Saccharomyces cerevisiae S288C: one gene and its partners. The gene in region 3 interacts genetically with the main gene of each other region. Each region holds a gene or a part of one and is shown on either strand. Other genes may lie near its edges.

Region 1 (2,367 bases), on a different chromosome or scaffold from region 3:
CGGGAAAAACGTAAGTCAATTATTATATTTTGACCAAAGAAAATCGCTTGTTGCTGTGCAGAATCTAATAAAGATGCTCAAGATAGCTTTTATTAGACCTTCATTTAGAAGTGGCAAAATCAAATGAATTGTTTTTTGTCCTTTGCTTCTTCCGCTTCATTTTCTCTTCAACAATTCAGGGTTACACTCAATCACGTGGGATACCATAATTTATCGTTCTACAAAAAAATGCAAGCACGAACTAGGGCGGTAGTTAGGAAGCGAATAAGAATAGCGCTTTTTCGTTTCAATTTGGAATATTAAAGAGTGATATTATTAATGGTTTTCTTTTTTGGAATGTGATCTATATACATATTTAAATAGTCTCTTTTGTATTTGTGGTGTCATAATGAAACTGCATCACACCAGATGCTTACCCATACAGAAAGTCGATTGATTATGAAACTTGAAGTAGCGAAGATTACGGCACTCGAAAATAAATAAAAAGAGGAAATAAAAGAGATAGAATACAACTTATCAAAAGTTCCAGATAGCCCGTACCTGTTTAAATCTTTTTACTTAAAGCATCCTTCCTCTTTAACTCCTGCTCATGAGCAAGCTGAAGCTTGTGTTGCTGTACAGCTGGTGAATCAGAATCCACTGAATGTGCTGGACATGGCAGCACAGAACCGATGGCCACTGATGCGAATGCAATGAGAAATGTAGAAAAGTATAGGTTATTGACTATTTTGTTTCTAGTGACTGCTCTCATGATATGTGTCTGAATTAAACTAATTGGCCTTCCGTGCCTGTAAATTCAATAAATAAATAGGATGTTAAATTTTCCTAATGTGTCTCGAGGTGCTTATGTTATCGTGCAAGCGCTGAGTTCGAAACGCTGTTTTGATGAATATCCTATATATATCAAAAGTACAAACACGGGGAAAGAGAGCCATCCCATCAAAAAAAATAAAAAAAGAAAACCCTTGCAGAAGGAGAACTGGTGTAGAGGTTTCCGGTCTTAATGGACTTAAGCACGTGACTTTTAAAACCCATGCATCGGTTACTATGGTTACCATTACTTACGATTTTTTTTTTTTCGTTATGAACCCTGTGCCCGAGGGGTTTTCAGGCACATAGATCAAAGTTCTACTCGTTTACCTGTAATCTTGGCGCGTTTAGGTCTCTTTTTTTTTCTTTTTTTTTTCTTCTTTTTTCATTTGTACTGCGTTATAGTTGTTTATGGAAGGTACCAATGGTGAATATGGAAAAAATGAAGTCAAATAGAAGAAGAAAGAGAAGCTAGCTTTGAGGTAGGTACTGTTTTGAGGGTTTTTGGGTGCTTCAAATTTGTCTTCTCAACTACCTTATTATAGGGCTCAAAAATAATTGACGTCATCGCTACAAGTCAGATGTCGATGTTAAGAATCTGGAGTTGCATCGTACATTTCTTTTCCGTGCAGGCACTTGATTCACGAATAAAGCCAGACATTGAATTCAAAAGGCGACAAAGGATATTTATCAATTCATCTAAAGAAGAGAATGGTTCATCTTCTAGTGCCGTTACTGTTACCCGTAACCCTGTGCTCAGCTCTAATAGCCCATCTCCTCCGCTATGGAATACATGGGAATTTAGACTATATTATTTGGCGTTCACCGTAGTAGTTCCTTTCATGATAAAGGCGGCATTGGCTACGAGCTCCGAGTCTAATCCAAACTACTATAAATTCAGCGGACTGCTAGCCCATGGTTGGATTCTGGGCCGCAAAGTGGATAACAGCGATCCTCAGTATAGGTTTTTTAGATCCAATTTTTTTTTGTTGGCCATCTTAATATTACTACAAATTATATTAAAAAAGGTTTTTGTTAAATTTAGTAAAATTCCGAAAACAAAATTCGATTTTGCGTGTGGATTAGTTTTTGTCTGTTTCATGTACGGGATCAATTCTGTTAAGCTCTTTACGCATGCTTTTATTTTCTTCACTTTGGCACATTCGCTAAAGAGAAAGCGTTTGATAGCCGCTTTTGCGATTTGGTCCTATGGTATCTTTACACTATTCATCAATCAAAAAATGAAAAATCTCCCCTTTAATAATATTGCTATCATCCTAAGTCCCATGGATCAATGGTATAAGGGTATCGTTCCTCGATGGGATTTTTTTTTCAATTTTACATTATTGCGTTTGTTAAGTTACTCCATGGATTTTTTGGAAAGATGGCATGAACAATTGAGCCGCCAACCTTCGATAGATTACGATGATAGACGACCTGAATTCAGAAAAAGTTTATCTGGTTCTACTCTACAAACCATTTATGAGTCAGGTAAGAATGTTCTGGAGGAAAAGGAACGACTGGTAGCAGAACATCACATCCAGGATTACAACTTTA
Region 2 (4,036 bases), on a different chromosome or scaffold from region 3:
AGTAGAGACACTTTCTTGCACTTGATAGCCAATGTTTTCACCTGTTGCATAGGAAACTTCGGCCAAGGAAAAGGCAGCAGTTTGCATAACTCTCCCCATCTTTTGCTTAGCATCATCAATTCTTTTGGTAATATCTCTGAATCTCTTTGTTAGGGCTTCAGACTTACGCTTTAGTAAAGAATAACCTTGGTTGGCACCTTTTAACTTGGTCTTCATCAAACCCAGCGTCATACGCGTAGGAAAGACTTGCTCTCTATTACCAGACATTTTTGAACCTTTTTCACAATGCTGTTAGGAACCTATGTACTACAGATGCTGATTTATTCTACTGCTGCTTCATCTAACCTTTATCTGTACTGCCATTGTCTTTTAACAATCCCCGTTCCTAATCAAATTTGCATTCGGGTAACAAAAAATCAGGTGAGTAATATCAGTAATAAAAAGCACTATTGTTAAAGGTGTAACTGCGGCAATTGTTAGACGATCAAAGTTCGTGTTTAGAATAAATACAAGAATATAAATAAACACTTTTGTTACATAGGGTTTAGTATGTAGGCTTAGTAACCCAATCGGTGGAGCTCATCTGTGACAGCCTGCTTAAGGCACGGGCAAAGGCAAATCTTTCTTCATCAAGAGCAAACATCTGCGATTTCTTGGCAATCTCTTTCGAAAAACCGTGTTTCTCAACCATCTCATCTACCATACCAGTATCGACGCTATCAGGTTCTTTGGTTGTTGGGCGTAACTCAAAATCATTAAGTATCTGTTCAGGTTCCACAAACAAGGAAGAAAAATCCGCTGCACCCGTAGTGGCCAGTTTCCCGCCACTGTCATATACAGCATCTAAAAATGTAATAAATCTTCTCACTTCATCACGAACGTAAATGGACAAATATGGAATATCGGTCACTATAAAGGCTTCAAAATTTTTTGCCAACGTCAAGTAATCTCCTGCGGCCAAAGGCTCACCACACAACTGCTTGAAAGTAAACTGCGCGACTCGAGGTGGGGTACACTTAGGGACTTTGAACTCTCTCCCCCAAATAGTTAATGGATAATCATAAAATGTCTTATGCACCGTGTGTGAATCAGTGGAATCATCGGTGTGGGAAGCCTGTGCGAAATAGTTATACCATTCCTTAATATGAGTTTCTCGACGGGTTTTACATTCCTTTGATGCGTATTTTATGCTCGTATCGGATGGGAAATAGTAAACTGAGGACACAGGTCTTGGAATCTTACGGTAATCTGTTGGCGAATTCAAGAAGATAACCTTAGTTCTATGCTTTATCAGTTCAATACAAGGAATAAATGATTGTCTTTGAACACCGTTGATATACAACTCATCTGGATGTCTATTCGAGGTTGCGAAAAGTACGACACCATAATCATCGGATAGTAAGGCAGTCATCAGCCTTCTCAATATCATTGCATCTGCCACGTCAGTGACTTGAAACTCGTCAAAACAAAGAACATGCGAATTATTTGCAATCTCTGCGGCCAAAAATGGAACCGTATCGATCTCTTTTCCTTTTGCATCACCTAGTTCTTTCAAATTTTGCTCTCTAACAATTTCATGCGACCTTTTGTGAACATATTGCATAAACTGGTGAAAATGTATTCTCTTTTTTGTTAAATGATTGGGAATTGTAGTATAAAAAAGGTCCATCAACATTGTCTTTCCGCAGCCAACATCTCCATATAGGTAAACTCCTCGAGGTATCGAGTTACCAATTTTGGATACATCCACATACGCCCCAATGTTCTTAGGTTTGCCACGGCTAAATACGGATTTAAGACCATTCAACCAACCGCCAACTTGGTCGACAGCATTGGGTGTCTTGACAACCGGAGGTACATATTTAACCAGTGAATCATACAAATCCCCTAAGGAAGAGATGATACCACGCTGATATGTATCATCCCGTAGCTTCCCCAACTTCACCAGTCTGTCGTACTCTTGCAAGGGCGTCAGACACTTATTTGACTTCGTAGATTGATACCGACAAATGCGAAAGCTGCAATGCTGCACTTGTCGGAAGGTTCGAACAGCATTGGGCTTCAAAGCGATCATGATTTTAACCAGCAAATACTATGTTTCACTGCTTTACCTATTTATTCTTTGTTCTTTCGGAGCACCCGCAAATCAGAAGAAAGGAACTTCTCCCTCCCACTTTAAAGTAAATCCGGAGATTCCCGTTATTACCTTACATATCGAAATATGACCCATAAAAGATGTGTAAAATTACGTAAGACAAAGGAACTCGGCACACCTATTGAATAGGTAATAGTGGAATCAGGTGCCTAAATAAATGAATAAGAGTACTGTATTATCTAGTAGTTGTTATATTATCTAACCTTTACATAATACGATTATTTCACATTGTTATGTTTTCGGGTAATAATTATGAGATGGAGTGAAATTTCACGAAGAGATACAAGTAAAATAGCAGCTCTTCAATAGCAAGAAGAGTGGCGCTGAGATTGAAAACAACTGTGCTAGTGTAGAGCAACTTTGATAATAGCTGGTACGTTTCCGAGAATGGAAGTAGACAGTATATTAGGTTCCTTGAGCATAACTGATGATTTTGACCAATTGGTTGACGTCACAAGTCTGTTTGATGAATTGTGTTCAAAACTAAAACCAGAGGCTATCGTGAAAGATCCCAGGTTTGATTTGTTCGAGGGTACACATTCTTTAGAGGTCAACAACTCCAAATTAGACTCCAGTCTGATAGAATTGACAGCAGAAGAAATAGAATTTGATGTGAACGTGGCCTACGATCCACCGTTGGCAAGTGTAGCAGCCATAGCGGATAGATTACTTAGATGTGTTATCTCCTGGCTGAATGACTACCAGACTTTACCCACTACTGTATTAAGCTGCAGGTATACAGAAAGCTTATTATCGTCATTAGTTAAGGGAACAACTGCCGGTTCGTCCTGGTGTACAGGGAATATTTTGTATGATAAAGTACTAGGAAGTTGCATACTTGGCGTTTGTTATTTAACAAAATTTGTGCAGAAACTCTTGAGTGCTGGTATTGTTTTTGAAGAGGAGGATTTAAATTTTAATAACATGGGGTTTAATACATTCGATAATTTGCCGGGGCAAGATGTTGTTATCAATTCTCTCACCGAGAGCCTTCAGATATTAGAGGCATATTCTGATGATAGCTTACATTTAACTATGCTGAAGCATATACTAAAAATTATCATTTGCTTAGTCCACTTAGAAGACCATCTGACAGACTATTCCACAAAGACAAGCCACCTGGATGAGCTAATTGAAAACGCTAACTCGGTTAATGGCATATTTCCACAATTACAGCTGTCTCCACCAAAGGGTGCGTTCTCAACATATATACAAAAGCACAGGTCTAATCAATTCCCTCCCAGGAAGATTACGAAGTTACCGACGGATTACAGCGGCTTTATTACACTGGCAAATGATGTTAAAACAATACTCCTTGTAGATAAAGCCGAGTCTGCGTTGGAGACCTACCAGTTTGCCAAATTCTTCAACAAGTTGGAACAAAGGCATGTCATTGCAAGGATCTTATTCCCCTTATTTTTCATTAGAGACGACAGAACAGTTTTGGGTAAATTTTCATATACCCAATTTTATTTGCTACATGTCAAGGAGTTTTCAGCACAAACTCCATCTGAATTTGAATCCTCTATTGGTAATGAACTTATCCAAGAAAGCTCTAATATGCTTTTAGAATGGTACCAAAACTGCTCCCAAAACACATGTAGATATAGACAAGGTTTTAACAGGCAACTTATTCTATGGGATTCTCTTCAAGCCCAGTTTGAAAGTGTCAATTCACAAGTTTACTGTTCGTGGACATATTTTATGAAACTATCAAGTATGATCGAATTCTCTTTAAAGGGGTTTGATTTGGATATTTACAAACCCTTTGAAGCATACTCTATGTTTTGGTATGTTTATTATTTAAGTCACCACTTAGAAACCTTTTTGAAAGATAGTCAAAATGATATTGAATCAAATATTAATGCCATTCATTCCATG
Region 3 (3,599 bases):
AATCAGAATCGACAAACTCTTTGCTATTGTTACGTGAGAATGCAAGCACATATGGGCGGTCACCTTCCGGGTTTAGACCGCGGTATTCCATTACGTCCGCTTCTCTCAATCCGCGTCACCAAAGAAGGAAATCAGATACTATTTCAACTTCAAGGCGACCAGCCAAATCCTTTTCATTTTCAGTTGCTTCTCCCACATCAAGGATGTTGAGGCAATCCAGCAAAATCAATGGACACCCACCGCCAATTCTGCAGAAAAAAACAAGTATGGGCCGGCTAATGTTTCCTATGGATGCCAAGACCTATGACCCGGAAAGCCATGAACTTATCCCACATTCTGCCAGCATTGAAACACCTGCCATGGTAGACAAGAAATTGCATTTTGGCCGAAAGAGTAGATACTTGAGGCATATGAACAAAAAATGGGTCAGCAGTAGCAACATATTATACACAGATTCGGATAAAGAAGACCATCCTACATTGAGACTGATAAGTAACTTCGATTCAGACGCAATGATTCATAGTGATTTAGCGGGCAATTTCAGGCGTCATAGCATTGATGGAAGACCCCCTTCTCAAGCTACAAAGAGCTCACCGTTTCGATCGAGGCCTTCTTCTTCAACGCAGCACAAAAGCACCACCAGTTTTACTCAATAAGAAAACACGGGCTTGCTTATATATCCTCTAGATATTCTTTTTCATCTATGTATTTATTCGAATGGCCTTTCTCATTCATATCATTTTCAAAGCGGAAATCGAAATCATTGTTTTCTCTCGAGCTGCACTAAGAAAAAAAGCCACTTTACTAAAACAATACCTTCAACATATTTGAAAATATTATTATGGTGGAAGAAAGATATTGGTTACACAAATGAGTCAGTCTTACGAAGCAGGAAATGCCAATATGGGCCAAGGGGAGGATGATGAATTTGATGGCTATTTCGAAGACTTTGACAACGATATCATGCCAAATAGTAATAATGGACAAAGGGTTGGTACTAATGCTGGATTGTCATTCAATGACGAAGTAAATGTTAATGATGATGATTTTTTAGACATTTATAATATGTCCCCTAGAGAGAGATTGATGCATAATATCAGGAAGAATGTTCAAAAATTACAGTTTTATTTTTATTCACTACGCTTATGGCAACAGATTATCATTGTCCTCCTCGGCATAATGCTAATGATAATGGGTATATTGTTGCTCGTCTTCCATAATGCGATTTTACATAAAGTTGTTGTTACTTCGAACGATTTGAGAGAAAAGATGTCAACACATTTTATATTAATGGTTCTGATATTCTTTGTCGCATTTCCTCCTATGATTGGCTACTCCTTATTATCCACCACTACTGGGTTGATCTATGGTGTCAGTTTTGAGGGATGGGTTACGCTAGCTTTGGGATCTGTAACAGGTTCCATTGCCTCTTTCGTTGTGTTCAAGACGATCTTGCATTCAAGAGCAGAAAAGCTTGTGCATTTGAATAGAAGATTTGAAGCATTGGCTTCAATTTTACAAGAAAACAATAGCTATTGGATTCTAGCTCTACTGAGATTATGTCCCTTCCCATATTCTTTGACTAATGGTGCCATAGCTGGTGTTTACGGTATCTCGGTACGCAACTTTTCCATTGCCAACATAATAACCACACCAAAGCTGTTCATCTATCTATTTATAGGTTCTCGTGTAAAGAGTCTCGCAGAATCTGAATCTACAGGATCTAGGGTATTTGACTTGGTAAGCATTATTATCACATTATTAATCCTAAGTCTTACAGCATGGCTCTTATACTTCAAGACTAAGAAGAGATATTTAGAACTACAAAACCGCGACCGTCAAGTGTCCACTGATCAACTACCTGAATTGTCTTTTGAGGTCTAATCCTCCGTATACGTTTATATATGTTTAGATAAGTTGGTTTTATATGGGTAACCCAAATTACTATTTCTACTTCTTTCTACGTCCGATATAAAGAACTTAAAAGACAAAAAGCAGTTTTTCGAAGCGACATCAACCAATCTAAGTTAAGGTATGGAAAGATAAAATACAAGAAATGTTACGCAACATCATCAGGTTCAAAGGATTTGGAAAAGGGACCAGTGGAGGATTTTTAAAACCTGTATCATTTCGTGTTCAGTTAACGCGATGTTACCGCTATGACAATGGTCCTTCATATCGTCGATTTAATAATGGAGAGTATTCCCAAAAATCATCGTTTAAAAGCATTCTTCTCGATAAGTCATCAAGAAAATACTTAGCTTTATTATTTGGTGGATGCTCTCTCTTTTATTATACACATTTGGATAAAGCACCGGTAAGCGATAGGTCCAGGTTCATCTGGGTATCGCGTCCATTAGAGTTAACTATCGGAAATTACACATACAAATCAATTTGGAGACAAACGCAGCAGGAAATATTACCTCCACAGCATCCGCTGTCCATCAAAATTGAGAATATTTTCATGAAAATTGTCGAAGCTGCTTATAAGGACCCTAGTGTAGACAACTCACTACTGGACGGAATCAAGTGGGAAATTCATGTGGTCAATGATCCAACTGCTTCACCAAATGCATTCGTTTTACCAGGGGGTAAGGTCTTTATATTCAGCTCTATTTTACCTATTTGTGCTAATGATGATGGGATTGCCACTGTTTTAGCACACGAATTTGCTCATCAGCTAGCAAGACACACAGCCGAAAATTTGTCGAAGGCTCCTATATATTCTCTTTTGGGTTTGGTGTTATATACTGTTACTGGAGCTCATGCTATCAACAATATACTATTGGATGGGTTTTTGCGAATGCCAGCATCAAGACAGATGGAAACCGAAGCTGATTACATTGGCCTGATGATAATGTCAAGGGCATGTTTTCAACCACAGGAGTCAATAAAAGTGTGGGAAAGAATGGCAAATTTTGAAAAGCAAATGAATAGAGGGGGTGTTGTGAATATGGAGTTTCTAAGTACACATCCAGCAAGCACTCGTAGAATAGAGAATATGTCGAAATGGTTGCCAAAAGCTAATGAAATTTATGAACAATCTGATTGTAGCAGTATGGGTAACTATTATAAAAGTTTTTTCTCAATGTAAGCACTCCACGAGTTATGCTCTTTTCTTTTGTACCCAATAAATAACCCTTTGTTTTATGCATGCATATAACTATATAATAACATATATGAATATTTTGCCTATTAGCACGCTCTTCCCATAAACTAAAAAAAAGGCTTCCTTCTTTTGAAAGGTTTCATTGAATTTTCTTTGCCGTTCAGTATATTTTGCTTTTTCGTTTTTTGCTTTTTGTCTTCTTTGTTTGAATTGTCGGTCATTTTGAGCTCCTGTATCACACTGTCTCTCATATCCTTACATCTCCTAATATTGATATCAATATCATCTTCAACCTTGTCCAGAGTATGTTCATAGTGTTCACCAAAGAGGCCTGTAGTTGTGGCCTCCTGATCATTTTTAATACGCTTGATGTCGTAGAGTAACCCACCATATTCCATTAACCAGAATGGATCTACAGAAGTAACACAACAAATGTATTCTTTGCTAGTCATTAATAATTCATGATATACCACGTAAGGGGGTAAATCCC

Evidence for each region.
Region 1: of OMA1 (region 3) and COA2, a mutation in one rescues a mutant of the other (synthetic rescue), as found in Saccharomyces cerevisiae (2 studies listed by BioGRID).
Region 2: of OMA1 (region 3) and AFG1, extra expression of one rescues a mutant of the other (dosage rescue), as found in Saccharomyces cerevisiae (one study listed by BioGRID).

What each region holds. Positions count from the first base shown.
Region 1 is NC_001148.4:187,763-190,129, forward strand, and holds COA2 (Coa2p), read right to left. Parts: upstream 752-2,367; coding exon 545-751; downstream 1-544. Other genes in the region: GUP2 (putative O-acyltransferase), read left to right, coding at 1,392-2,367. UniProt on the Saccharomyces cerevisiae protein: Required for efficient assembly of cytochrome c oxidase in the mitochondrial inner membrane. Seems to be involved in the SHY1-mediated step of cytochrome c oxidase maturation.
Region 2 is NC_001137.3:54,609-58,644, reverse strand, and holds AFG1 (Afg1p), read right to left. Parts: upstream 2,075-4,036; coding exon 545-2,074; downstream 1-544. Other genes in the region: VMA8 (H(+)-transporting V1 sector ATPase subunit D), read right to left, coding at 1-267; MAK10 (Mak10p), read left to right, coding at 2,543-4,036.
Region 3 is NC_001143.9:602,690-606,288, reverse strand, and holds OMA1 (metalloendopeptidase), read left to right. Parts: upstream 1-2,056; coding exon 2,057-3,094; downstream 3,095-3,599. Other genes in the region: TGL4 (triacylglycerol lipase), read left to right, coding at 1-656; TVP38 (Tvp38p), read left to right, coding at 871-1,884; DEAH-box RNA helicase PRP16, read right to left, coding at 3,217-3,599. UniProt on the Saccharomyces cerevisiae protein: Protease that is part of the quality control system in the inner membrane of mitochondria. Activated in response to various mitochondrial stress, leading to the proteolytic cleavage of target proteins, such as OXA1 and COX1.